Linked DNA regions of Oryctolagus cuniculus. The protein of the gene in region 4 binds, or shares a complex with, the protein of the main gene of each other region. Links are inferred from orthologs where the notes say so. Each region holds a gene or a part of one and is shown on either strand. Other genes may lie near its edges.

Region 1 (4,724 bases), on a different chromosome or scaffold from region 4:
TATTTCACTGCCAATTAGCTTCCTGCTGTTGTGGATCCTGAGGCAGAGGGTGATGGCTTGGGTACTTGGGTCCCTGCCATCCACAGGGGAGACCTGAATTGAGTTCCAGCCCCCTGGCCTGAGCCTAGCCCATCCCTGGCTTTTGCAGGCAAGTGGGAGTGAGCCAGTGGATGGAAGATCTTTCTGTCTCTGTCTTTGCTTCTGCCTTTCAAACAAAGAGAAAATGAATAAGTGATAAATTATTATTGTTGATGTCTGACACACAAGGTGTCATGGCCTGCTGTTGATAATGTTGAAAGCGGCCACCTGAAGGTAGTGCATATTTTCATTACTTTTGTAAGGACAAGGGTCATGGGGCCAGCACTGTGCCACACCAGGTGCTAGTTTGAGTCCTGGCTGGTCCACTTCCAAACAGCTCCCTGCTGATGGGCCTGGGAAAGCAGCAGAAGGTGACCCAAGTCCTTGGGCCCCTGCACCCACATGGGAGACCTGGAAGAAGCTCCTGGCTCCTGGCTTTGGTCTGGCTGAGCCCTGGCCATTGCAGCCATCTGGGGAGTGAACTAGCACATGGAAGACATTTCTCTCTCTCTCTCTCTCTCGTTCTCACTCTCGCTCTCTCCCTCTACCTCTTTGTAATTCTTGCCTTTCAAATAAATAAATAAATAAATCTTAAAAAAAGAACTAGGGTCGTATGGCTAATGTGGAGCAAAGTGTTAAGCAAAAAAATTGTAAGGATGTAGGTGGAACTTGAAAATTGTTTACTGGTCTTGTAGAAATGAAATACTCTAGTGAACCAGAAACTTTCCAAGATGGATTCTCTCAACTTTGCCTGCTGTGGTTTCCATAGTCCCACTAACTTATACTATTCTTCTCTTCGTAACTGTGTTATGGTCCAAGGTATATAACAGAAGTGGAAGGAGACACAAACTTGGAAACCGAATTCCGTATACGGAGTATAATGTACTTTTCGTGTTTTCTCATTTGTAGATTTTATAACGACAGCATTTAAGTTTTCACTTTACAAGAAGAAATCAAACATCTACATAGTTTATGAAATGGGGATACAGGAAAATGCATTTTTTTTAATGACTCAGACTAAAATAATGAGCTGCTAACTTCTACTTCAGGGATTTGTATTTACAGGAAGCTGTGCATCTCCCCCATGAACCTGAGATCCGTTAAGAACGAGCTTGCGTCTTTGACCTCACTCTGCTGAGTTTTCAGGATAACGTCTTCAAAGCATGCTTGAGCGATGATTGCACTTCTTCCAAGCTGCCCAGAGAGCAACCCCTTCTGGAGGGAAAGACTACAACTCCCAGCATGCCTTGCGTCCTCCGGGACGAGGCAAGAGAGTCCCACCACCCCTCGTGCCCGATAGGGACTACAATTCCCACTTCACCCGGGAGCTCCGGAAACTTGTCAAACAGCACCTGTTGCCATAGCATCCGGGTCCAGGCCAGCCAATTCCAGCACCCTCCGCCGAGTGGAGGCGGGCCCTTCGCGGCTCTGACCAATCGGAGGTGTAGCTGTTTCGGCACGTGACCGGAGGAGGCGGGAACTCAGACCGGCGCCTTCTCCTTGCTCCTTGGGGTCGTGGCCTTGCTCCCGTGCAGCCCGGGAAGGGTCCCGGCACGTTGGCGCGCGTGTGCGCGGAGTTGTGAAGCGCTCGTGGTCCGTGCTGGATCCGTGCAGGAGCGGGGTCAGGAGCCATGGGCGGGACCGCCAGCACCCGCCGGGTCACCTTCGAGGCGGACGAGAATGAGAACATCACCGTGGTGAAGGGCATCCGGGTGAGTTCCGGCGGGCGGGCGGCCCACGGCTCGGACCCCTGCCCTGCGTTTCCTGGACCCGCTCTGCTGCCCGCTGCTCGGACCCCCAGCCAGGCCTTCCCTGCACCTCACCGGCCCGAAGCCGGCCTTGGGGAGGATGCGGGAGTTTGACTTCTCCGGGCGTTCGTGCAGAGGCCCTGGGCCGGGTGAGGGGTGCAGTGCGGGGCGGCCGCGGCGCGCCGGGTGCCCCGAGACCCTCCGCTGGCCTTGCCCTGCTCGGCGGTCTCGGGGGCTTCCTCGCTGCCCCTCGCCGCCCTGGCCCCGTCTGTGCAGCGGGTCCGGTGTCACTCCCCTTGGCTCGGGGCCCGCAGCCCGCTTTCCCGCGGGCACAGGCTCCCTCCCCGGGTGCGCTGCCGCCGCCGGCTCGCCTGCCTCGGCTTCCAGTCCTTCCTTGAGCGCGCTCCCACCGGGGCCACCCCTTGCCCTGGCTCGCGCCTCCGCCGCCCCCGCCGCTTCCCGTTCTCTCGGTCTCTGCGCTTTCCCGGGCGCTGCCTCTGTGACCTGTGGCTCCCGGGACTGGTGCCTGCCGGCCGGGCCCGGGCTGGGATAGGCCTGCGAGGTTTCAGAGCTCTGAGAGGTGATAGCGAGTTCTCTTACGCCCTCTCCACGTACTTGGCGCCTGAACTCAAACTTGACTTTGCTCCAGGGAGTCAGCACACCAGCACTCACTTCACTTAACACGCTCTCCGCTGCAAGGACCAGCCTGCATCCGGGAAATAAAGCCATGTGGACTTCAGGGTGTCTTAAGATACTTTGTATTTTCCCTCCCCTGCTGTCCTGTCACACAACCAGTCTCAATGAATGTATTTACTGTTGTGTTACCGGGAAATAAAACTTACTAAATACGCACAGTGTTGAACTCTTTTTGGTCTGTGACCAAGGTTTCTTGATTCATTAACAACAGTGCTGCATTTTGCGATATAGCATCTGAGGCTGCATTCTTGTGTTCTTGGTGGTTTAGTTGCTCCTCCTTGGAGTACAATAAAAAGGACTGGAAACTCTGAGTTTTATGCAGAGATTTAAAAAAAAAATCTTGCCTTTAGGCTGTGGGTGTTCCACCTCTGAGGGTGAAAGAGGAAAGGCAGCACAAGATAAGTTTTAGGTGAGAAGATTTTAGTTAGGAAAATGTGTGTCACTCTAACACAGACACAGGGGGACAGCAGACAGAACTGGCGGCGAGTCTGGCCACAGCTCAGAGATGCCTAGCGAGTATGAAGATGGAGGAAGGTGGCAGTGGGGATGTGTGTTCTCCTGAAATGGAAAGGTGCTCTAAAAATCTGCGTTTCAGAACTTGAAGAAGTATCTTTCTTGGATAGAAAACTTGACGAGTGCATTCTTCAGTTTTTTCTTTTTCCTTCTCCGATATTACGTCTTATGTTTGCTCCTTCAATTCGAGCTCACGCCATGCTCCTTGCAACCTCTCTGTGTTTTTTTCATAGCACGCCCTTCACCTAGATGCCCTTACACTGTTTGCTGTGGCGTCAAGTGCTTCTGCTGCAGGGCGGGTTGGCGGTCTCTGCACTTCGGTTTCCTTATCTGTAAGAGGATGGGGCAGGATCTCAGATCTCTGGTCGTCTGAAATTCTGTGACCCTCGTGCCACTGTCTGTGTCCTGTGGCCTTCCTCAGCGCCGTGCAGTTTCCTCTGGAAATGACACGCGGTGGAATCATTGAGTACTGAGAGGTCACTCTGATTGCTTTGAAGTTATTGTCAGAAGGGTGCCAACGTACAGTTAAACAGCCCTCAGTTTAAATCTTGGGTCAGCTATTTATTAGCCCGTGACCTTGGACAAGGCACGTGTCTGATCATATTTGCTGTCCATAAAGGGGAACACGGTTGCTTCTGTCTTGTGCTGGAAAGATGAGGTACGTTCTTTGCTTCTGGCCCTCTGTAGGTTTTATTAAAGGCTGCCATCGGCCAGCACTGAAGCTCACTGGGCTAATCCCCTGCCTGTGGCCCCAGCACCCTGGGTTCTAGTCCCGTTCGGGGCGCCAGATTCTGTCCTGGTTGCCCCTCTTCCAGTCCAGCTCTCTGCTGTGGCCCAGGAGTGCAGTGGAGGATGGCCCAAGTGCTTGGGTCCTGCACCCCATGGGAGACCAGGAGAAGCACCTGGCTCCTGGCTTCGGATGGGCAGGCCATAGCAGCCATTTGGGGCGGCGAACCAACGGAAAGGAAGACCTTTCTCTCTGTCTCTCCCTCTCACACTGTCTAAATCTGCCTGTCCAAAAAACAAAACAAAACAAAAAATACAAAAAGGCAGCCATCATTTCACAGGGATTCTGTATTATAGTGGAAAGAGAATACCGTGAAGGAAAGCAGACTTGAGCTTGGATCCTAGCTCCGCCTCTCAGAAGCTGGGTGGCTCTGGACAAGGCACTTTTGATTGTAAATCTAGATTTTGGCACTTGTCTGAGGATTTGACGTCATGTATGTGAGCATCTGACAGTGCCTTGTGGCTGTCAGGAGAACCGTTGAGGGAATGGCTACATTAACTCATGCAAACTTAGGTAAGACATGTACGCACGAGTGGACTGGGAAGTGAGTTGCTGGCTTCTGGCTGTCGCCTGCGTGCTTTTTGTCTAGGTATTTTGTAGGTTTTCTTTCTAGTTAATTTTTACGTCTTTCTTGGCTTGAAGCAGTGTCTAGTTTCCTTCTGAGGCGTGGGGAAGGGTAAGAAACAGCAGTCTCTGGATTTAACTCAAGTGTTTTTAGTCGGTTTCAGTGTGGGGCTGTTGAGGCCTGTTTCCCTTTTGAGTTGCAGGTGGATGAGCTGAACTTGACTGGCGCAAATCCTGCAAACCTGCCTAGTTGTCGAAGTCAGAGTGTACCAGCAGATCCTCAGGAGCGAGTCACTTGGAAAACCAGTTCTGTGTTCCATTCCCCTGTGCGGGACAGT
Region 2 (4,308 bases), on a different chromosome or scaffold from region 4:
GGCCCACATCGGGGCAGGGCCACCCGCTCCACCCGGGGCTCCCACGTGGGGGCAGGGCCGTTGCTGCCGCCTCCCAGGCTGTGCACTCACGGGGACGTGGGACACTGACGTGGGGACCCACACCCTGTGTTCCCTCGGGCCAACACCGACTTGTCTGAAGGCTGGGTTAGCCAAGTCTTCCATCCGCTAGTCCCCTCCCCAGGTGGGCTGCCCCGCCCCGTGGGTCTTCGGAACACTCCTCGCGTGCGTGGATCTCAAACTGCCTCCCCGAGTTTCTACCACACACCAGAGGTGGCCTGTGCGTGGCTGCCCGAGGCTTTAGGACTGGGCGCTCTGGGGCGGGCTCCCGCCTGTCCTGACTTCCGGTGCCCACCCGGCTCCGAGTGCCGAGAAAGTGCAGGGCGCGCGCCTCAGGGCCACCCAAGCCACAACCGCGACGTGGGGCGCGCTGGCCCCCGGGGGTGTGTCCCAGGATTCCCCGGGGCTCACCCACCACATCCTGCGGTGAGGGGTCACTCGGGGTAAATCGCCGGGGGCTGCGCCAGGCCCGCAGGCAGGTGCAGTGACCACGACCCCCCAGGGGCAGCCGCGGTGCCCCCCAGCGCCGGCTCAGCCCCCCGAGCTCACGGCCGCCAGCGGTCCCGGCCACGTGGCCACTCGGCCGCCCTGCCTAGCGCCTAGTGCGGGCCTCTGGGCCCACCCCTCCCCTGTCCCCATGGAGGGGCTGATGGCCTCGGGTGCAGCCCCTCCCCCCGCAGCCGCCAGCTGCCACACCCCACGAGAGACCTCCATGGTCACAGAGCTGCGTGGCGAGGGGTGCTGCGGACCCCCAGGGCCGCCAGAAGGGACACTGCCCGCCCTGGTAGGGCAGGAGGGCCTTGGCACGCCCCCCGCCTCCGAGAGCCGAGCCCACCCTGGCCCCACCCACCGGCGCAGGGCCGGCCCCAGGCGGGCTCCCAGCCCCCCCCCCCCCCCCCCGCGGCGCCCGGGCCAGCAGCGGGTCAGGGGCAAGTGCAGAGGCCTTTATTGGGCCGGCCGGGCCGCTCACTGCTTGGTGCGCTCCCGCACGTACGCCCAGCCTTCCCTGGAGTACTCGCGGGCCTTGGCCGGGGCCGCAGACAGAGCCGCCATCACCGTGAGGATGCCTGCGGGGGAGGCGGGGCCGGGCACCGGGCTTTGGAGACCAGCGGGGAAACTGAGGCACGGCCCAGCCGCCCCTCCCCCCCTCGCCTCGAGATCCACGGGAGACACACAGCGCAGGAAGAGGGGTGGTCCCCAGGGGCGGGGCGCGCACCTACCTTTATCCCAGGTCTCTCGGATGGGGAAGCTGATCTTGGGAGGAGCCGGGAGCTGCGGGGAGGGGGAGGGGCACGGGCCGGTGAGCGGGGTCGGGGTGGGGGGGAGGGCGCCCCAGCCCCGCGCACGGCCTGAGCCGGAGAGGGCGCGCGGCCGAGTACCTGGGGCACCTGCAGGCCCGTCTGCTGGCACACGTACTGGCTGAGCTGGTACACGGCCGGCGGCACCACCTCCTCGGCCTTGCGCAGCGCCGCCTCGCCCCTGTCGCTGGGCCCCAGCAGGTCCTGGTCATACACCAGGTAGACGGCGCCCCCGGCCACGCTGCCCTTCAGGAGGAACCTGCGGCGCGGGAGGTGGGCGCTCAGGGAGGGCACAGGGCAGGGGCAGCGCGCACCCTGGCCTCCCGGGGGACGCCAATGCGGGACTCCCCGCGCCGGCCCCACGGCACAGGGCAGGGGCAGCGCGCACCCTGGCCTCCCGGGGGGCGCCAATGCGGGGCTCCCCGCGCCGGCCGACGGCACAGGGCAGGGGCAGTGCACACCCTGGCCTCCCGGGACGCCAATGCGGGACTCCCCGACCCCGACCCCACGGCACAGGGCAGGGGCAGCGCGCACCCTGGCCTCCCGGGGGGCGCCAATGCGGGACTCCCCGCGCCGGCCCCACGGCACAGGGCAGGGGCAGCGGGCACCCTGGTCTCCCGGGGGACGCCAATGCGGGACTCCCCGCGCCGGCCCCACGGCACAGGGCAGGGGCAGCGCGCACCCTGGCCTCCCGGAGGGCGCCAATGCGGGACTCCCCGCGCCGGCCCCACGGCACAGGGCAGGGGCAGCGGGCACCCTGGTCTCCCGGGGGACGCCAATGCGGGACTCCCTGCCCCCGAACCCACGGCACAGGGCAGGGGCAGTGGGCACCCTGGCCTCCCGGGGGACGCCAATGCGGGACTCCCCGCGCCGGCCCCACGGCACAGGGCAGGGGCAGCGGGCACCCTGGTCTCCCGGGGGACGCCAATGCGGGACTCCCCGCGCCGGCCCCACGGTACAGGGCAGGGGCAGTGGGCACCCTGGCCTCCCGGGGGACCCCAATGCGGGACTCCCCGCCCCGGCCTCACGGCACACAGGCGGCGGGAAGGGGCGACCGCGACCCCCGGTGGCTTCCGACCAGTCTGCGCTCCTATCTGAGCGGGGAGCAGACCACCGCGAGCCAACCGGACAGGCGGGGTGGGGGTCCTGACGGGGACTCTCTCGGGGGTTCGGGACCCCGCCCGGCCGCCCCACGAACCTCATCAGCGACCACACTCGGGCCACCATGGTCGCTCGGCTCCGCGCAAGGACACCACACTGCCCGCCGCTTCCGCTCGCGGTGCGCAGAGGACGCCGGGACCTGTAGTCTTTCCTGTCAGCCGCAAAGGCCTCCGGGAGTCGAAGTCCCGCTAAAGCCTCTGAGACTCGGGAGAAGGACTAGCGAGGGTCCTACGGGCAGAGAGGCTTCTGGGAAATGTAAGCTGTGTGGGCGACCCGGGAGCCGCAAGGCCGTCTGGGAAGTGTAGTCAGTACCGCCCCGTGAACTCGCTGGGCCGCGAAGCCTCCTGGGAAATGTAGTTTGGTCCTACCCCGGCGTCCGTGCGTGGAAAGAGACGTAGGGGGTCTGGAGTGAAGCCTAAGGGTGACCAAGAAGGGGTCAGAGGCGAAGTCAGCCGCGCCCGCGCGGGAGACAAAAGCCTTCGACCTAGGGAGCCCGCGCCGAGAAGGTGGTTGTCCCGGCAACGCCAGGGCGGGATTGTGGGCGAGAGGCGGGCCCTCGGTCACGTGATCGCGCGCCGTTCGGAACTTCCGCCCCGGGGGCGGGGCCACGGCGCGGGTGGCCGGGAGTTGGGCGGGCGGAGGCCGTTGCCAGGCAACGGGGGGCGCGGAGTCCTGGCGGCCCGGCCCCTCCCCCCGAGGAGGTGGGTTTGGCGTCACGTGACTCGGGCCCTACGGGAGGGGGCGCGGTCGGGGGCCCGGCCGCACTGGGCTGGGAAGGGAGACCCTCAGGGCGTTGGCGTGACTCCCAGGCCAGGACCCCAGCCTCGCCGGACACTGGGGCAAACAGGCCCGAGTGGGTGAGTGCGCAGCTGGGGGCGCGCGGTGGGTCCCCATTGTCCAGGGGGAAAGCTCCGGCCCCCCACTCCTCCCTCATCCCCGCTGGCCACTGTCGGTCCGCCCATCTCTGTCCATCTCACATCGTCCACTCTGCCTGGCTGCTGCGGGCGGGGCGGGGGCTGGGAAGAGGCCCCTGCCGAGGGGCTTCGTGCGCTGACCTGGGCCTGGGAAGGGGTCGGCCTGACCGGAAGCTGCCACTGAGAGCGGACAGGTGCAGCGACAGGTGGGCGGGGCCAGGCCATTGGCGCCCCCGCCCCAGGTCCAGCAGGAGGCGGGGTCCGGAGTCTGCGCGGGAGAAGAGGGTCGGGGGTTCCTGTAGGGGCGTTGCTGAGACCCGGAGGCCGTGCGTGGTGGGCGACAGCGTGGGAGGAGGCGAGGCCAGCACCTGGGCCCCCGCACCGTGTACTTGGGGCACGCTGGGGCCTGGGAGAGGCGGGTTGGGGTCAGCCGCTGAGCGGGGTCTCAGGACTCGGGCCTGGATCTGGAGATTGGAGACTTGAGGGATCCCCCCCATCTGCCCTGCGCCCCCTGGGCCGCCTCTGCCTTGGGCATCTTTGAGCTCCTGTCTGCCCGTGGCTTCTTTAGACAGACCCCGACCCACCCAGGCGTGATGGGCCGGTGCCTGCGCAGGACAGACTCCCCTATGAACCTGGGCTGTTTCTCCCTTTCTTTTTTCACAAGGGGTGTGTGTGTTATTTAATTTATTTATACAATGCATTTGAAAGCTTGAAGGACAGGGCGGGGTGCGGAGCTGGGAAGAGGTTGCTCTCAGCCCCTGGCTCACTCCCCAGACGGCCCCACCATAAAGGCTGGGCCAGGCAGAAGGAGCCCACTCCGGGGGCTCCCAGGCGGGTGGGTGGCTCCGAGGGTGTGT
Region 3 (4,008 bases), on a different chromosome or scaffold from region 4:
GATGAGGTGCTCAGAAAATCTCTTATTATACTTTCACGGCTTCAGTTCTCAGATTTAAGTCTCTTAATTCCTCTAACATTTATTTGGAGGTATGGTGTGAGATAAGGATTTAAATTTAACTTCTTTTTCTAACCTTGTTCCATCACAAAAATAAAAGCAAAAACTAGTTTTACAAGTTAAAAATATCTTAAAATCAGTCAACTTCCAGACGGTGCACTTAGGCTGACTCTCCCCCAGCACTCAAACTCAAAGCTCACTCCCATCCCGTAAACTGCAAAGTCTCTGGTGAGAACTAAGACCGAATGACAAATGAACCACTATTCTTGCTTTGTATAATGCTGAGACTTAACAAAACCAAGGCAAATGCTTATTTTATCTTCCAAAGCTGAAACTGAGGTGTAACCTAGTTTGGCAATTTTCACTTTTCCCATCATTTTCTCCCTCTCAGCAGGCAATCCAGTTTATTAGAATACCCTGGGTCAAGTTATACCCCTCCTCAAACCCTCATCAGTTGGCTAGAGAGGGGTGATGATGAAGCACCCATGGTAAAGTTCTGTCACTTGTAGATCTCCAGACCCAGCTACTGATACGCTTCAAGGCGCACGGGGAGCCCTGCTGCAGGCAGCACCGGGACGGCAGTCAGAGCACCTGGCTCCTGCTCCCTGGCTCGAGGATGAAGCCAGAGCTCTCTGGCTACTGTGTGGAGGTTTCCATGGCCTGGCCCCTAAATAGCACCCCCATGTCTCTCCTTCCCTTAAACTTTACATTCAGAGCAGACCCCTGCACTGGCCTCTGGGCCCCTCCCCCTACTGTTCCCTACCTGAAATGCCCTTCTACCACATTCTATCTTTCAAAATCCTCCCTGAAGTAATGAGCCATTGCCTCCTGTGTGCTACCACCAACCCTGGGCAGCCTTGCACCATGCTACACTAACATAACCACTGGGGTACACATCTGGCCCCTGAGCCAAAGCTGTGTGTGCCACAGACAGGATACCAGCCTGCCTGTCATTATGTCTTAGCATGGAGGCACAGGACCTGGTCCATGAACAGCATTCAAGAAGTGCTAAGTGGACAGGATATAGCTGCTGCCCTCTAACCCTAACAGGGAAGATGAGGAGAGAAGACAGCTCCGCTGGGAGGCAATGCACGAGAACACTCCAGTGCACGGTTATCCACTGTGGCACAGACTTTATCCTCTAGTGGATGGCTACTCCAGACAAATGACATGGTTTTAAACCAAGTTACATGCATAGACAGATCCAGATCCCCATAGAGGGTGCTGGCTGAGCAGAAAAGCAGCAGCTCCAAGGACATTTTTGTTTCGTAGTATCTGTTTTCGTAGCTTATAGCCTCTTTTCTTAAAACGGACTTTGCTTCTTTATGTTTGCTACAAGTAGTTATTTGAGGAAAAGAACAAATTTCTTCATTTGTGATGACATAACAGGGTAGAGATTAAGTCAGCTGGAGCCTGGCTTGGGTGCCAGCTCCACAGGGGGCCAGGGAAGAGGACCCCTCCCGGAGGCCGCGAAAGGACCCCTTGACCTGTGGTTACATGAGAGTTACCGAGGTTGGCACCAAAGTCTTGAGCAAAATTCCTCCTTATTTGGCCCAATTAAAGTAAATCCCTACAGTCCTTTGACTTGAAGCCTGGCTGGATGTCCGGCTGAGGCTCTGTAGTGGTTACATTTCTTTTAAGGATCCTTAGCAGCAACTTCTTACCTGAGTTGTCAAACCCAATCCTTCTGCTCTGTTTTCACAGGTGGAGAGACTGAAACAGAGTGAGGGAAAACAGCCTGGCCCAGGTCCCGAGAGCTCTGACTGAACAGTGCTGCCTTCACTGCCCCAGACAGCGTCTGCCACGCATGGAGAGCCACACGCCCCGCAAGAGTGTTGCTGACATCACCCTGGCACGCACGTGAGCCACACGGGCCGCTCACTGTACTCTGACAAGCAGGTGACTGGTTGTACCCTCCACCCTCTTCCTCCACTCTCCCCGGGGTGCGACCCGCCCTACCTTTCTGTGGGGTGTTTGCACTGCCTCCTGGAGACCCCAACGCAGACGGCGGAGGGGCTTGCTGCTGGCCTGCTGCAGGCTGGCTGGAATCCTTCATGCGGTTAACCACATTTTCAGACAGCTGCAGGAAGGATTGAGGAATGGGAAGAGGGGGACAGGGACAAGTTACACCACAGAAACCTCCAGAAAGGCAGAGTCCCCTGCGTTCACGCCCCAGATTTCCTGAACATACTGCTTCCTCCAGACCCACTCAGAAACCTCTCCTGGTACCCAGAGCCCATCAGGCCAAAGCCAACCCTGTCAGGAATGCCGAGCCTTCCGCAGTACGTCCCGGACTGGCTCCACAGCTTCACCTCCTACCACTCCCAGACGCACGTCCTGCACTCTGCAAAGCTTGAGTTCTCATTTTCTCACCTCCTCGGGGGCCACATATGCTGTTCCCTCGGAACCACCACCAGGCCCCACTTCCCACCCTGGCACGTCAGCACCTGCCTACATCTGACTCTCCCATTTAGGGCACCCGAGCGTTCCCTTCTGCAGAGACCTTTCTCCAACAGCACCCACGTGAAGCATCGCTTTCTCCTCCCTAAACCCCCGTTATGACGTGCGTGCCTCTCAAGGCGGTGCTGCCCCTCCTGCCCTCCCTCCTGCTGGCAGCCCGCGAGGCTCCGTGGGCTAGGGCTGCCCTCACTCATCTCCGTAAACCCTCCGAATCCACACGCGGAGCAGATCATCAGGACGCTGCTAGTCTCATTGCTCCCTATGCCTTTAATGAAGACTGGATCACCAAAACTTCCATTCATTCGAGGGAAGTGAAATAGGCATCAGGGGGTCATTGAACAGTTTACTGAGATGAAACAGCAAGCTGGGGATACATCCGGAATAAAAACCCTTAAGAGTTCACTTCAGTAAATATTTATTAATTGCCTAATATGTGTAAGGCATCATAAAGCACAGTTGAGAGAAGACATTAAATATGACTTCAAGACAAAAGACATGATCAGCAATTCCAGTTCCAGATATCTAACTGAGAAGAGTACTCCCCTGTGTGCACAGAGGCATGTATAAGAAGCTCACTGTGGCACTGGGGGGGGGGGGCAGAATTGGAAACATGAGAGCATCTAACAACAGGAAATTGGCTAAAGAAATTATGGTGGTGGGGCGGGCATCGTGGCGTCGGGCATCGTGGCGTAACAGGTTAAGCAACTGCCTACAATACTGGCATCCCATATGGGCACCGGTTCAAGTCTCAGGTACTCTACTTCTGATCCAACTCTTGCTAATGTGCCTGGGAAAGCAGCAGAAGATGGCCCAAGTGCTTAGGCCCCTGCACCCACATGGGAGACTGAGAGGAAGCTCCTGGCTCCCAGCTGCAGTCTGGCCCAGCCCTGGCCATTGTGGCTATTTGGGGAATGAACCAGAGGGTGGAAAATCTCTCATTTCTCTAACTCTGCCTTTCAAATATATCTTTTAAAATAAAAGAAATTATGGTGTATATTGCCTGAACTATTTAGGAACCATCATGGAAGGGTGTATGCAACACAACTGCTGACTGTTTGAACAGTCAGAAAATCCTTTCTATATCTCAATTTTTGTAAAAAGATATGCACAAGTATAAAATCACAAACTCAGAAATATAGCTAAATGAACAATGTCTTGGCAACCTTGCCTAAAGTCAAATGATCATAGATATAGAAGTTTACTTCTGGGACGGAGCTCCTCCTGGTTGCTGGCTTCAGCTTGCCGAGCCCCAGCTGTTTGTGGCCATCTGGGGAGTGACTCAGTAGATGGAAAGTAACTTCTCTCCCTCTTGCTCTCATTCTGTCACTCAGTCTTTCAATCAGATTCATAAATCTTTTTTAAAATGTACATTTGAGTTTTTACTATTTGCCCAAACACACATACACGGATCTGCACCCAGGGGGAATATACGGGGCTACTACCAACGTGCTCAGGGGGTTACACCCTGCAAGCAGGGGCAGGAGCAAGACT
Region 4 (4,558 bases):
CATATTTGGGTCCTGGCCATCCAACTGGGAGACCTCAACTGAATTCCCAGCTCCCAGCTTTAGTCTGGCCCATCTCTGGCTGTTTCAGGCATCTGGGGGGGATGAACCAGCAGATGGGAACTCTCTGTATCTCTTTTTCTCTCCCAAGTAAATAAATTTTAAAATTTAGAAATAAATAAAAGATTTTTTTCTGGAATTTGCTACTCCTATTCCAAGAGTTCTTTCCTTCCTTTCACCATCAAACTTCTCTAAGGAGTAATACACACCTCCATCCCTGAGAAAGCAAGGAGTGGTAGAAAGACATTGGAGTCAAATACAGCCCAGTCATATGCCAAAACACTTACAAATGCTAATTTATTTATTTTTCAAGATTTTATGTGATAGATATTATAATTACCATTTTATAAATGAATAACTAAGGCTTAGAGAAGTTAAATAATTTTGAACCCAGGGCTTCCACTGAGCAAGTATGATCTAGAGCAAGCACTTTTTCTAAGCATGAAATTTTCCATCTGCAAAATGAGTATACTACCCATTTCTTTGGTTCACTAAGAGGATTAACTGAAATATATATGTAAAGCAAATGAATGAAGTTAAGTGCTAAATGAATTCCTGTTCTCTCTCATCCTTTCCTTAACCCCTTACAATCTAGGTTCTCCCTATACCACTCATTATTGTATCTCTTTATCTCCCTTCAGTTCTTACTCCTATTAGCAATATGACTGGGAAAATTAGTTAACTTCTCTAAGCCTTAGTGTTTCATCTTTAAAATGGTAAATAATAATATCTATACATAAAGTCATGTTAAATAAATGAATTAACATTGGTAGAGTGTTTTAGCATAGTGCCTGGCCTGTAATAAGCACTTAATAAATGGTAGTTGCCAATGACTTAAAAGTCATATCAAAGGATTGCTCAAGGCTCTCCCTCTCTAGGCTTCCGTGACAAACATTAGTCTGGTTTGCTTTTTGACCACTGACCATGACTTCTTCCATGAAGTCTTTATTCTCTTCAAAGCAGATTTGAGTTCCTTCTCTTGTGAACTCTCAAAGTACTCTGTACTTATCTTGAGATTAGGTATTCCCCTTACTCTGAATCATAGTCCCTTGTGTTACACATTGCATCTCCATTGCTTAATTGAATCTCATTTATCCTCACCTGGCACTTATTTATTCATGTAGAACTTATTATTGAGTACCTAATACAAGTCAGACCTATGCGAGGTACTAAACATACAAGATTAATAAAATTATTTTTCTTAAGGACCCTGTGGTTTAGGAAAGTAGAAAAGATAAGTAAGTAGTCTATTATTTGCAGTACAAGAACTACTATGGCTAGGGGAGAACTTGTTGTGGTGCAATGGGTTAAACAGCCTGAGACACTAGCATCCCATATCAGACTGCTGCTTTGAGTCTTGGCTGCTCTGTTTCCCATCTAGCTCCTTGCTAATTCGCCTGACCCAAGATGGCCCAAGCACTTGAACCTCTGCCACCCATGTGGGAGACCCTGATGAAGTTCCTGGCTCCTGGCTTTAGCCTGTCCCAGCCAGGGCTTTTGCGGCCATTTGGGGACTGACCAGCAGATGGAAGTTGGAGGCAATGTCTCAGAAAAGGCATTCTGTGCTTAGGAAATGGAAAGGCTGCACACAAGTATCTGTCAAATGAATGAACTATAAATAGGAAGTAACTGAATGAGGACGAGAAAGGGTACTTTAAGCCCAGAGAGAGAGTAGGTAAAAAGGCATGGATGGTGAAGTAGTTCAATATTGATGTAAGGGGGGTTCCTGACAAGAGATGAGCCTGGGAAGTGATGAAACTGGAAAGTAAAAGCAGGGTTGGGTGTTCCGGACATAGGCGTGTAACCAGACCCTAGACAGCAGATGATGGAGTGCTGATAGAGGGTTTTAAGCAGGAGAGGGACAACACGAGATTTGCAGTTTGGTAAAAGTACTCTCACAACACAGGGGAAAATACATTTCATGGGGCCAGGCTACACATAGAGTTAAATTAGGAGGGTTACGATAATTCAGATAAAGTATGAGAGGCAAAAATGAAAATACGAAAAATGAGCCAAGACAGATACTAAGCTGCTGTAAAAATAAACTTCGACTGAACTGAATTATTGATACTTGTATCTCCTGCAAAGCCTGGCAGAATAGCATACACTTACAACCCGCTATGTCAATATTGTAGACAACTGTTACCAAAACCTAGTTAGAGAATAGCAAGCAGCTAACAGCCAGCTGAGTCACTTCCTGTAAACGGATTCCTACGTAAAGCCACCTTTTTCCATTACAGACCTCAAAAACACTTAACGTTTGTTATTCTAACCCAGAGAGTATAAACCCGCTCACTGTGGGTCTGTTTTGCGCCAAGTAATGTTTGAATAAAGTCCTTCGAAGGGGTCATGAGGTCCCGCCCTGTGCACGAAAACAAATGCTAAGAATTCTTTTCTCTTCGTCCCAGCGCTAGACCCAAACGCCTGCTGGTAGGTACTCCGTCGCGGCGCCGGCCATTTTCACCCAGCCGTTTCCCAGTTTACGGCAGGGGACAGAGGACCGGGAAGTGTCCCAGACCGCGGAAAAGCCAAATGGGAGAAGTAGCCGTAACGAAGCTTCAAACATTAACGACTCCAGAACTCTCACGATACCGGATCCAGTCTGTCCCTTGCTGCAGGACTCCCTCAGAAGTTAAGACGATACCTTCTGTAATCCCTGGGACGCTACCGACACTCTAAGAAACTAAACAAGTTTGTTTTCACTTACCCTAACGACCGCCATATCTACGACCCTCTCGGCGCAAGTGTCCTTACGGAGAGCGAAGAGGGACAAACTAGCTCGACAGGCTTTCCCTCAGGCAGCCCCGCCCCGTTACGCCCGCCTGCCCGCTTCCGCCCTTTCTCCGTCCCACAGCTGCTTTGGCGGCAGCTTTGGTTAGTTTAGCGGCAGTTTCGCATAGATCATCCTTGTGGTGGACCCTCTCAGTTCCCGATAAAAACTTTTAAGAATATCCTCCACCGCCCAGGTAAAAGTTATTTTCTTGGGTGCAGAACTTTTCATTATTTTTCTTTGTCTGATTTGACTAGATAACGACTTAAAACAGTGGCCTTAATACATGTGCTTCGGAAGCGAGCACAGCAGCGGCCTTAATAAATAATGGCGAGTAAAAAGGGTCACAAAAAGAACAAGTTAACTCTGTCCTACACGAGGACCTTCACTCATTATAAAACTGTTACTGAGGGGACCGGCGCTGTGGCGCTGCGAGTTAAAGCAGCAGCGAGTTAAAGCGGCGGCCTGCAATGCCAGCATCCCATATGGGTGCCATTTCAGTCCCGGCTGCTCCACTTCCCACCCAGCGCTCTGCTATGGCCTGGGAAAGCTGTGGAGGATGCCCCAAGTGCTTGGGCCCCTGCACCTGCGTGGGAGACCCGGAAGGGGCTCCTGGCTCCTGGCTTCAGATCAGCTCAGCTCTGGCTGTTGTGGTCATTTGGGGAGTAACTTTCAAATAAATAAAATAAATTAAAAAAAAAAAAAAAAACTGTCACTGAGCGCCTACTCTGCCAAACAGATCATTACCAGTACAGAGCAGAATTGTAGTGGCTTCCCTTATAGAGCTTATGGAAAACGAGATACAAAGGAAGGAAAATGAAATATGTAGTGCGGGGATATGGTAGGAGTTTACTGGTTTTTTACTGGTTTAAGTAGATTAGGGAAAGACTGATAACATTGAGAAAAACCCTGAAGGAATTTAATAAAAAGTGTTACATGCAGAAGGAACAGCCAAGAAAAACACCAGAGTGACTGGAGTGATAAATACAGAGGCAGTAAAATAAAACACATTGTAGAAGCTGTTTGTGCCATAATGAAGAATTTGGATTTTATTCTGAATAAGATGGGAAGTCTGGAAGTTGTAACATGATCTAAATTACATTTTAAAAGGGTCATTTTGGTGTTCTCAGGGGAAGATGCCATGAGCAGGTGCAACACTCTCAATAAAATCAATCCCCTTAGGCTCCCTATGAACAACTCTGAGGAAAGAAGAGGTTCAGACTGTACCCATAAACATTCCAAATATTGATTCATTTACTTATTTTTTAAAGATTTATTTTATTTATTTTGAAAGAGTTACAGAGAGAGGTAGAGCCAAAGAGAGAGAGAGAGTTTTTCCATTCCACTGGTTCACTCCCCAAATGACCACAACAGCTGATCCGAAGCCAGGAGCTTCTTCCGGGTCTCCCACGTGGGTGCAGGGGTCCAAGCACTTGGGCCATCTTCTACTGCTTTCCCAGGCCATAGCAGAGAGCTGGACTGGAAGAGGAGCAACCGGGACTAGAACCGGCACCCATATGGGATGCCAGCGCCGCAGGCTGAGGCTTTAACCCACTGCGCCACAGCAATAAACCTAATTTACTTATTAATTCATTCAACAAATATCTATCAAATGCAAACCTAATACAGACATTAGTGGCACACCATTTTTAATATCTGAAGCAGTTTTTTAACAGAAACCTCCTCTAAATGACATAATTGTTATAAAAAATAACGAAACTAATAATAATA
Region 5 (4,008 bases), on a different chromosome or scaffold from region 4:
AATTGAATGATAGTTGGAAAAGCACTAAGACAAAGAAGTCTTGTCAACATTCATCTGCATTTTAACTATCATTACACTCAGGCAAGACTTCCAGTAACAGTACTAATCCTTACCATGTAAGGAAGTATGGGGCCGGCACTGTGGGAAAAGCCGCCGCTTGTAGTGCCACCAGCATCCCATATAGGCCTGGGGTTTGAGTCCCAGCTGCTCCACTTCCCATCCAGCTCTCTGCTATGGCCTGGGAAAGTGGTAGAAGATGGCCCAAGTCCTTGGGCCCCTGCACCCGTGGGAGACCCAGAAGAAGCTCCTGGCTCCCGGCTTCGGATCAGCGCAGCTCCAATTGTTGCAGCCAACTGGGGAGTGAACCAGCAGATGAGAAGACCTCTCTTTCTCTCTCTCTCTCTCTGCCTCTTCTCTCTGTGTAACTGACTTTCAAATAAATAAATAAATCTTTTTTTTTTTTTTTTTTTTTTTTTGACAGGCAGAGTGGACAGTGAGAGAGAGAGACAGAGAGAAAGGTCTTCCTTTGCCGTTGGTTCACCCTCCAATGGCCGCTGCGGCCGGCGCACTGCACTGATCCGATGGCAGGAGCCAGGAGCCAGGTGCTTTTCCTGGTCTCCCATGGGGTGCAGGGCCCAAGCACCTGGGCCATCCTCCACTGCACTCCCTGGCCACAGCAGAGAGTTGGCCTGGAAGAGGGGCAACCGGGACAGAATCCGGCGCCCCAACCGGGACTAGAACCTGGTGTGCCGGCGCCGCTAGGCGGAGGATTAGCTAGTGAGCCGCGGCGCCGGCCATAAATAAATCTTTAAAAAAAAAAAAACATGTAGGAAGTAGACATCAGATTTCTGTAACATGGAAAGAGAATAATGAAGGAAAAGAGTCTGTAATAAAGAAGGGTCACAAAAGAAAGCAAAATTTACCAAAGAATAATTTCTTTTTAAAATGTGTCACAAGTAATTGTTCTTTTTATTAAAGATTTATTTATTTGAAAGTCAGAGTTACACAGACAGAGGAGAGCCACTGGTTTACTCCCCAGATGGCCGCAACGGCCGGAGCTGCACTGATCCGAAGCCAGGAGCCAGGAGCCTCTTCCGGGTCTCCCTTGTGGGTGCAGGGGCCCAAGCAGTTGGGCCATCTTCTACGGCTTTCCCAGGCCACAGCAGAGAGCTGGATCGGAAGTGGAGCAGCCGGGACTCGAACCGGCGCCCATATGGTATGCCAGCGCTTCAGGCCAGGGCGTTAACCCACTGAGCCACAGCACTGGCCCGGACCAAAGAATAATTTCAATTACTCTGAAGAATAGTAGATACTGAAAGAAGACATCTGATCAGGAACAAGATGACACTCAAATACAAGAAGAAAAGTTCACAGTGATGGCAGTAAATTAGGAGCAGAAGTCATTTAATAGAAACACTTCATAGAGAGTTTTAAAAATCAAGGGCTTGCAACTTTAATGACAAGTTTTGATGGAAAAGAAAAAGAAGTAATTCTAGGGACGGAATGGGAGGAGGAACCAATGGATGCAGTTTCCTTTTTTAAATTGAAGGTCTCAGTTAAAAACTCATTAACTAGCTTCCCTGCTTCTGCCCTCAGTCCCTTCTTGGTTCACAACAGCCAGAGTGATCTTACAAAAATTCAAGTCAAGTATTAGCCTCCTGGCTTAGCACCCTCCAACACCTCTTCACACCACTCAGAAATGAAATCTCTTAGCACTGCTTCAAGTACTGACTGCCACAACAGGCCTTCTGCTCCCTCTCTGGTAGGATTTGCTGCTGTGCGTCCCACACTCACTCTACTCCAGCGTTATCTGCTTCTCACTTGAATAAGCCTCTTTCCACTAGCTTCTCTGCCTGGGATGCCTCCCCACCAGCTTTTTACATGACTTACTCCCTTCTCTCTTTCTAGCCTTTCCTCAAGTAACACTTTCCAAGTGAGGCTTTTCTCACCCACTCCATTTAAAACTGCAATACTCCCCTTCTCATACTGACATTTTACTTGATCTCTTTCCCTTAATCCCACCAAGAAATATTAGCAGAGGTTTTTTGTTTCTAAAATGATTTTGTTGATTACTATACCCAATGGTGCCTAGAAGACTGCACATAACACTAAGTGAACCATCTGCCAACAAACATCTGATTGAATCAAGGACAAGTTTCACTATGGAGAAAGCCAAGGAGACTGAATTCATGTTGAACATGTTAGAGTTAGGCAAGTTGTAAATTAGGGTGGGTTTACTGGGAAACCCAAAGATAAAATATATCTGCAGGAACTACAAAAAGACACTTTGATTACTTAAAGAACTGCTGAAGAGGTAGATAAAAGAGGTGGGGGGTGGGGGAGAATAAATCTTAAAACCCAAAGAGGCGAAAAGTCTAGGAGTCAGAGGGAAAAAAAGATAAATATGTTTCAGGCCAGACAACCTATACTGTTTCCTCACTCAGTTCTTCATAATAAAGCTCAATGCTATGTTCAACTCTGAAACTGAGCACAAGAATGACTTGTGAGAGCTGGGGACCAGAAGAGTCCTTCCCCGGGGGCCTTCTCTTGACAAATACATCAAAACAATTCATTTCCCCATAATTTTTAAAGAATGGTTTTAGATAGAAGTACCTGTTGTTGAAGCTGGAGTATCTCCTTTGTGTTTCTGAAGTTGTGAGGCGGGCTGTTTAGATTCTTTCATTACCTCTGATACACTGGAGATTTTTAGTGGACCAGACTGAATCTTGAGGGGAAAAAAAAAAAATTTACATATAATACTGTTTCTAAAAGACAGCACACAACAATTTATAATATTTCAAAGGTCAAGTCTTTCAGGCTTTTAATATGAAATTATGAGTGCTTTACAACAAAAGCATTTTATTAATCACAGTAAGAAAAGTCATCATTACTAGAAAATTTGCAGTTCAAAAATTCTATTCCAAATCACTAATGCATATTTTAGTACTAACAAAAGGTTCTTTTAGGACAAACAATAAAGTATACATATGCCCTTCCCCTTAAAGATTCTTTTACAAATACAACAAGCAGGTGTTTCTATTTACTTTCTAAATCAAATTACAGTGTCAGAAACAAAGTTTACTACAGAATCTGAGTAAAAATGAAAATCAGTTTTTGTTTCTTTAATCTCCAGGATTCATGCAATTACACATCAATTTGTGAGTAATGCTTGCTTTTCTCTTTTCCAGTTACTACCTGCCTTAGATTTAAGGTACTATCCATAAAAGACTTCCAGAGATGTGCCAGAGAAAGTTAAGGAGTAACAGAAATATTTTATTTACCATCTGTGATGTCTCACATTTTGTCAGAACCTGGCAGCATGTCTCAGATATCCCTAAGATGACTACTTACCCACAGGAAACTACAAGAAATATATCCCTTTTATTTTTAATAAAACATTATCATTCCTAAATTAGGAAACACAGGCTCACTGAAACAAGCAAAGCAATACTTGCATACATCAGTGGTTTTACATGGTCTCTTCATTGCTCCTTTCCCTTCCAGCTAGCTCAGGAAGCCCCGGCCTGAAACCTCTCCCTCCACCCCTGTGCATTGCGGGCCTTGCTGTCCTGCACCTTTGGGGCGCATGGCCCTCAGGCCACCCACCCCATGCTTCCTGGCCCTCCATGCTCTTCCACATGGCTGGCTCCTGGTACTTGGTATGAACCCAGATTTCCCTCTCTCTTTTAGATAGGGCCCTCACTCTCCTATACATTTCTCTCACTGAATAAAAAGCTTAAAACTTAAAAAAAAAAAAAAAAAAAAAAAAAAAAAAAAAAAAAAAAGAGACTATCTCAGAATTTAGTCAACCATTCAACATTCCAGTTGTTTATTTTGTCTCACAAACACTGAATCAATGAACATCCAAATAAATAAAAAGTGCTGTTGTATGTTATCTGCAAGATAATTTCTTGGAAAAGGAACTGCTGGATCAAGGTGCTATATTTTTGATATTAACAGATCAATTTCACATACAGTTCTACCAATTCACATTCAAAATAAACGTGT

What was found.
Region 1: APOOL (region 4) and CHCHD3 share a complex: the UniProt entries of both Homo sapiens proteins name them as parts of the mitochondrial contact site and cristae organizing system (MICOS) complex. The link is inferred for Oryctolagus cuniculus from reciprocal best matches to the Homo sapiens genes APOOL and CHCHD3.
Region 2: APOOL (region 4) and MICOS13 share a complex: the UniProt entries of both Homo sapiens proteins name them as parts of the mitochondrial contact site and cristae organizing system (MICOS) complex. The link is inferred for Oryctolagus cuniculus from reciprocal best matches to the Homo sapiens genes APOOL and MICOS13.
Region 3: APOOL (region 4) and CHCHD6 share a complex: the UniProt entries of both Homo sapiens proteins name them as parts of the mitochondrial contact site and cristae organizing system (MICOS) complex. The link is inferred for Oryctolagus cuniculus from reciprocal best matches to the Homo sapiens genes APOOL and CHCHD6.
Region 5: APOOL (region 4) and IMMT share a complex: the UniProt entries of both Homo sapiens proteins name them as parts of the mitochondrial contact site and cristae organizing system (MICOS) complex. The link is inferred for Oryctolagus cuniculus from reciprocal best matches to the Homo sapiens genes APOOL and IMMT.

The regions. Positions count from the first base shown.
Region 1 is NC_091434.1:168,943,795-168,948,518, reverse strand, and holds the start of CHCHD3 (MICOS complex subunit MIC19), read left to right. Parts: upstream 1-1,538; 5' UTR 1,539-1,709; coding exon 1,710-1,790; intron 1,791-4,724. UniProt on the Homo sapiens protein: Component of the MICOS complex, a large protein complex of the mitochondrial inner membrane that plays crucial roles in the maintenance of crista junctions, inner membrane architecture, and formation of contact sites to the outer membrane.
Region 2 is NC_091447.1:60,301,804-60,306,111, forward strand, and holds MICOS13 (MICOS complex subunit MIC13), read right to left. Parts: upstream 3,055-4,308; 5' UTR 2,604-3,054; coding exon 2,575-2,603; intron 1,636-2,574; coding exon 1,458-1,635; intron 1,351-1,457; coding exon 1,299-1,350; intron 1,146-1,298; coding exon 1,045-1,145; 3' UTR 1,009-1,044; downstream 1-1,008. UniProt on the Homo sapiens protein: Component of the MICOS complex, a large protein complex of the mitochondrial inner membrane that plays crucial roles in the maintenance of crista junctions, inner membrane architecture, and formation of contact sites to the outer membrane.
Region 3 is NC_091441.1:109,715,014-109,719,021, reverse strand, and holds part of CHCHD6 (MICOS complex subunit MIC25), read right to left. Parts: intron 2,138-4,008; coding exon 2,017-2,137; intron 1-2,016. UniProt on the Homo sapiens protein: Component of the MICOS complex, a large protein complex of the mitochondrial inner membrane that plays crucial roles in the maintenance of crista junctions, inner membrane architecture, and formation of contact sites to the outer membrane.
Region 4 is NC_091453.1:65,869,381-65,873,938, forward strand, and holds the start of APOOL (MICOS complex subunit MIC27), read right to left. Parts: upstream 2,870-4,558; 5' UTR 2,780-2,869; coding exon 2,765-2,779; intron 1-2,764. UniProt on the Homo sapiens protein: Component of the MICOS complex, a large protein complex of the mitochondrial inner membrane that plays crucial roles in the maintenance of crista junctions, inner membrane architecture, and formation of contact sites to the outer membrane.
Region 5 is NC_091433.1:116,582,909-116,586,916, reverse strand, and holds part of IMMT (MICOS complex subunit MIC60), read right to left. Parts: intron 2,726-4,008; coding exon 2,614-2,725; intron 1-2,613. UniProt on the Homo sapiens protein: Component of the MICOS complex, a large protein complex of the mitochondrial inner membrane that plays crucial roles in the maintenance of crista junctions, inner membrane architecture, and formation of contact sites to the outer membrane.